Linked DNA regions of Oryctolagus cuniculus. The protein of the gene in region 1 purifies or fractionates together with the protein of each later gene. This does not show direct contact. Links are inferred from orthologs where the notes say so. Each region holds a gene or a part of one and is shown on either strand. Other genes may lie near its edges.

Evidence for each region. The genes of interacting proteins can lie anywhere in the genome.
Region 2: the proteins of COPS5 (region 1) and CDKN1B purify together in Homo sapiens (affinity purification with western blotting; 11 studies listed by BioGRID and IntAct, with this or other methods). This does not show direct contact. The link is inferred for Oryctolagus cuniculus from reciprocal best matches to the Homo sapiens genes COPS5 and CDKN1B.

Annotation. Positions count from the first base shown.
Region 1 is NC_091437.1:92,672,087-92,674,292, forward strand, and holds part of COPS5 (COP9 signalosome complex subunit 5), read right to left. Parts: intron 585-2,206; coding exon 436-584; intron 1-435. UniProt on the Homo sapiens protein: Probable protease subunit of the COP9 signalosome complex (CSN), a complex involved in various cellular and developmental processes.
Region 2 is NC_091440.1:110,363,093-110,367,096, reverse strand, and holds the start of CDKN1B (cyclin-dependent kinase inhibitor 1B), read right to left. Parts: upstream 2,801-4,004; 5' UTR 2,156-2,800; coding exon 1,681-2,155; intron 1,125-1,680; coding exon 1,003-1,124; 3' UTR 995-1,002; intron 1-994. UniProt on the Homo sapiens protein: Important regulator of cell cycle progression. Inhibits the kinase activity of CDK2 bound to cyclin A, but has little inhibitory activity on CDK2 bound to SPDYA. Involved in G1 arrest. Potent inhibitor of cyclin E- and cyclin A-CDK2 complexes.

The sequences.
Region 1 (2,206 bases):
GATTTAAGACTTTATGAAAAAAACCCTGAAATTTGTTAAGTTTCAACATCTCTTAATTTAATTCTACAGATGCTTATATGACAATAAACCAAGAGATTCTTTTGGCAAAGGCTTGCTTTTATTTATTTTTTTTTAATTTGAAGACCTAAAGGAAGATTAGTTTCTTTCTTTGACTTTGTAGCTGAACTAGAAGAGATGACTGGGAGTATTCCATGTCACTGCCTACATCTTTGATTTAAGCCTTTAATGTTCTGACCTAATGACTCCTAAATTTTCAGAGTTAAAATCTGCATTTGACAACTTTTAAAGGTCCCAAGAAGTTTAATGTTCAGATATTATTCTGACTAATTTGAACTGTAAGGAATTTGGTTCCTACTATTATTTGAGAATTGAAAGTAAAAAGAATCTTTTTCTTATTCTTATTCTTATTCTTACCTGTCTCTTGTGGCTTTGGCAAGTTTGTCCTCTGATTTTCGGTCATGTGTTTCTAAACCCAACATGAAACTTCCTCGTCCCAGCTGGGCTTCTGACTGCTCTAACTTTTCAGACAAATCAAAGACCTGACCAGTGGTATAGTCTGCATTCTGTGGAGAAGATGATATTGTATTAGTACACAAGTCTACCATTAAAAACATAAAAAAAATATACATACACACATATATATTTTAATGTAAATTAATTTTCTTCTATAAAGAACATTTCATTTACAAAGAATCCTCCTATAAGATCTGAGTGGATGATTATTGAAGTAAGAAGTCAAATTACACGTGCAAAATCTTGCAACTTTTTCAACTTGTCAAGTGGTTCAATGTAGATGTGTTCTCTTTTTAATTTCAAGATTAAATTTGGAATTTTTCTCTTCGACTCTAGGTCTAATGGTGATTATTATTACAAGAGGCCTTGGCCTACACATATCAAGTCCAGCTCCTAACCTGCTGCAGATTAGTTGGGAGGCTTGGGACATGCCTGCAGGTCCTCTTCAGAAAATGGGAAAAGGGAGCAATTTCTATGTTAAGGCTATTGTGAAAAATTAATGAAATAATGTGTGAAAGCTCTTAGGCTGGTCCATGGCACCCACTAAATGCTTAATAATTGTTAGCTAGTTTTGTTACTATTCTTTTATAATTTGTACTTAGGATAATATTTTTAAAAATAACCTTTGGTTTTGCTTAATAAATTATTACAGAAAATAATTTAATAAATTACAGAAAATTTGGAAAATGTAGAACAATATAAAGAAAATAGACATAGCTATAAGCCCTTCACCTCACTCATATGCATTCTATATCTGGGAAACTAGAATATTATATATTGTATTTTTATAATATGACATACTTTTTAAAAAGAAAAAAGTTATATGTCTACATTACTGTAATATCTTTAAAGAGATTGTTATAAGATATCCATTTTTAGTTTTAGTCTAAAATATAAAGAAAACCTACAAAGTTGTAAAGCATATATTACATTTCTTTTCTTAATCTTTTGTAGAAGAGAATGAGGATAAATAAGCCATTTGGCGAAAATCAGCATGCTATTTTAGTTGCTCAGTTTGAAAGACAGCTTACAAGAAATACAGTTTAACTATCAAACACAAAATGTTATAGCTATCATCAAAGTTACCACAGAAGGCCCTTTAAAATGCTACCAGATCTCCTAATGATTGTTCAAAGTTAGGGTGATTTTAAAATGATGCAATTATATTTACTTTGCCTAAATGAATCTAAATGGTTTAGGAAATCAACATTTATCCCACAGACTTGGAGAAAAGCCTAAGGTTTACAGACTTTTCCACATTCAGAAGATTAGCTACAGAGCCCATAAAAATGTAAGCTAGCAGAAATGGTTATACTAGTAAACTGACAGTAAAATATACCCAATCACATTTCAAATGCCCAGAAAATTAATACAGGAAACTAATTTCTTAAAAAAATTTTTCTCTGGTAGCTTTTAGGTTTTATGCTATAATTAACTGCTTTAGTTGGAGAAAGAGAAAGTGAACATAATTTACATGTTTTCTTAAAATGCAGCAGTGTCCTATATGAGTATATAAAATCACAGAAAGGGAGAAAATGTAATTTAACCTTTTCTTGATTATTAATGTCCTCATATATGCAGTGCTGGAATACAGGGACAGCCGTGTGGCTGAGTAGGTAGATCTGCTTGCCTTTATACAAAGGTTCAGACTGCTCTGGTCTTACACAGTGTT
Region 2 (4,004 bases), on another chromosome or scaffold:
GAGAGATCACACTCCTTGTGTATAGGAAGCCACCAAACTATTAATATAAGTAGTTTGATCAGGAGGGACAGCCAATCCAGGTAAAGTTAGAAGCTGAATTAGTCAAATGAGCCATCCACCGTGATCAGATTTTAGTATATGGAAAACACTTCATTTTTCCTGTACTGGTAAACCTACCCTCACCAGTCCTGACATCTCCCCTACAAATATCCAAATCATGCTGGTAACAGTGTGATTAGCATACGCGCTGACGTGTTCCTGGACTGCTTACTGTGCCACAGTGAACTTAACTTCTGCTTTGCAGCTTCTGTGTTATCAGAAATTCCGTAGGAATCTGAGTATATTCGAGCTTTCCACTTTTGGCTTTTTTTTTTTTTTTTTTAATACACAGGTTCCTTTTCTCTGACCAAAACATATTCAATAAAAAGGGAAAATGACAGTTTACAAAAATAATAAAGATAAAAGAACACAATCTCTCACCTCCCTGGTCACATTTCTAACCCCTCACATAAACCAACTCTTCTCTCCACGTTTAAATTTTGACTGCGTGTTGGCCAATTTTCCATGTATGGCTCAAAACCTGTTACTGTCTCCACTTGAATAGGCTAGGAAGTGAGCTCTGGAACAGGGGGACTGAGGGGGCACCCCAGTTCTTGCTCAGATGGAAGGAGGAATCTATTGTTCCCAACCCGTGTGGGTGTGACTCACGGAAAATGACAAGTACTTGCTCTAGGCGGTTAGTGTTTCAAGGGAAAATCATCCCCAGAGAGAGAAACCTTGAAGGATTACAGTATCCCAACGGCTGGTGACTTCCAGCCAGCCCCATGGCTACTTTTTTGCCTTTTCAAAATATAAACAAAACCAAACCCTGCAAGCACCCAGCAGCTGGCTATGGGTATTAGGGGGAGGGGGGACCGGTCCTGCAGCCCAGCTAGGGTGTCAGAGCTGGGCTTGTTTTTCTGGGGCGCGGGGTGTCCGTTTTTGATGAACCCACCGAGTTGTTTACGTCTGACGTCTTCGGAGGCCCGGCTTCTTGGGCGTCTGCTCCACAGAGCCGGCGTTCGGGGAACCGTCGGAACCGTTTTCTTCTGTTCTGTTGGCTCTTTTGTTTTGAGGGGAAGAATCTAAAGGCAAGAGGAGATTATTTAAAGGACACACACACACACACAATCTTCAGTAAAAGAAACAATGGCCGGCACAAGTTGGCCCAGTGGCCAGGGGGATGAAAACCCACCGCCTCCACGCACGGTCCTGGACGGGGCGGCCCCCAGGAAGGTGGTCTGCACCACACAGAAATGGGGCCCCCGCACCTTCCTCTACCCTGACCCGGTGTGTGTGTGTGGGGGGGGGTGTTGGAGGCCGCTGATCAACATCCCGACCTTGTCACCTACCCAGGGGTAGGAAGGAAAGGCGCTGTTTTCAACCTGGGCAAAACGATCAGATCCTACAATCTCCCGGCTTCTGCCTTTATAAACAGACCAGCAGCCTCCCGGGTAACATTCAAAAACCCGAGATCAATAAAAAAGTTCGTTCCCTCCACCCCCCACCCGCGCCCCGAGCTCTCCCATCAGAATAGGCTGGAGTTAAAGAGCCGCAAGCAGGCAGAGCGGGAGCGCGCACCGACGGACCGACGGACTGACGGAGGACAGAGGCGCCTTTCGGCTCCGGGAGGGTCTTTACCGTCTGTGGCAGGTCGCTTCCTCATCCCCGCGCACTGCTCGGCCAAGGCCGTGGGGCCGTCGGACTGCTCAGTCTTTGGGTCCCCCAGGTGCGTGTCCTCGGAGCTGGCCTGGGACGCGGCCACCGGCGCCGCGGGGCGGACCCCGCCGGTGTCCTGGCTTTCCTGCGCCGGCACCTTGCAGGCGCCCTTGGGCGGCCGCGGGGGTCTGTAATAGAACTCGGGCAAGCTGCCCTTATCCACCTCCTGCCATTCGTACTTGCCCTCCAGGGGCTTGTGATTCTGGAAGTCGAAATTCCACTTGCGCTGGCTCGCCTCCTCCATGTCTCTGCAGTGCTTCTCCAGGTCCCGGGTCAGCTCTTCGTGATTCACCGGGCCGAAGAGGTTTCTGCAGGCGGAGGGCTTGGGGTGCTCCGCCTGCCTGGCGTCCGTGCGCTCCAGGCTTGGGCTCCCGTTGGACACGCGCACGTTGGACATCTCGCCCCGTACCGGGTCTGGACCCCGCCGCCTCTTCTCTGGCGCGCGCTCTCCGCAAAACAAAACCGAACGCAGCCCAACGCTCCGACGCTGCGGAGCCCCGCGAATGCGCTCAGAGCCCGGGGAGATGGACCCAGACCAGTCGCCGCCCGCGCTCCTGGGGGCGCGCAGGGTGCGGGAGCCGAGCGGGGACGCCCCGGCCGCGCAGCCCAGGCCGCCGCCGCCGCTGCCGATCAGGAGTGCGGGCGCGCAGGAGGGCGGGGAGGGGAGGGGAGGAGCGGGGAGGGGTGACCCGGCCGGTCCGAGTCCAGGCCGGAGCGAGTCCGCGGGTCTCCGCAAGCAGCCGCTCTCCAAACCTTGCGCCGACGGAGCCGCGCCGCGGGGAGAGAGAGTGGAGAGAAGGGAGGGGGCGTAAAACACCCCGAAAAGACGAGCCCCCTTTTTTTAGTGGCCCAATATGGCGGTGGAAGGGAGGCTGACGAAGAAGAAGATGATTGACACGGCGAGTCTATTTAAACAGAGGAGGAGATCCATTGGTCGCGGCGCCGGGAGCCGCCCCGCCGAGGCTGGCGAGCGCGGCCTTAAGGTGGCCCCGGCGCGGGGGCCGGCGCCCGCCCGCGTCCCCGAGCGCCGCCTGCAGACGGGGGCTGCGCGGCTGCCAGCAAACCTGCTGCGCCGGCCGCGGAGAAATTAAAAAGGCGACGGGCCCCGAAGAGCCAAACGGCCGGCCGCGGCGCTAGGGAGGGGCCTGGGCGGCGGGCCGGGCGGGGCCGCCAGGGTCTAGGACGCGCAGCCGCCCCCAAGCGCCGACCTCCCGGCTCCTCGCCAGGGCAACCACGGGCCCGGAGCCCAGGGGCCCCGAGGGTCGCCCCCGCGCCTCGTTCTGAGGCCCGCCGCCCAGCTGGTTCTGCTGGCGCCCGCCAAGCCGGGGGTGGGGGTGGGGGTAAGAGCCCTGCCCTTCCCTTCCCCATCCCCCACCCCCCACCTCACCCCAGCCCAGCTCGGCTCTCCCCCGCAGCTCCCACTTCGCGGGCAGGCCCCCTGCCCGGGTGCCTTCGCTGGGGCTGTAGAGGGTGAGACCAGTGGTGAGCTCACCCCTCACCACTAAGTCCCAGAGCAGGCAGGGAAGGGGCTCGGGGAAGCGAGCCAGGGCAGACGACTTTCTCTAAAGTAGCCGGAAGTGGACGCAGCGTTTAGAACGCGCTTGGAACCCAAGTTCTCCCTCAATAGAAAGGAGAAAGGACCTCGGGATGGACAACCCCCGTCTGGCCTCGCCAGCCCCTACGTGCACTTTGTTGCTGTCCCTAAACCCGGCTTTTAAAAACCGAGGTTGCAGCCCCCAAGTGCAGGGAGGGACGGGTGTGGAGAACTGTTCCTATTTCTTCCACCTGGGCCCAGCCCCTTGCTTCTCCCGCGGGATTCGCTGCAGCACCCGACTCGGAGCTGTATTTGGATGAAGGCTGAACTCTCTGAACGACGTTCAGCTGCGTGCTTTTAGATGCCTGGGTGAAAACACTCCAAGTCCACGTGATAAAGTGAGTTCACACAGCCCTGTCCTAACACCCGATGTTATTCGGGCATTTCTCTCGGCTCTCCTTTGCAACTTGACGTTTACCTGCCAGGTTGGTCTTCTGCAGGTGGTGGAAGTTGAGACAGGCCGGGGGCAGGGCCGTCCCGTTGGAGACAGCTCAGTCTGCGCATCACCCATTCACAACTTGTGGCATCTTACTGTGGGATCAGTTAGTTAAGTCTTATTGGACACCGAAGCCGGCGCCGTGGCTCAATAGGCTAATCCTCCACCTTGCGGCGCCGGCACACCGGGTTCTAGTCCCGGTTGGGGCGCCGGATT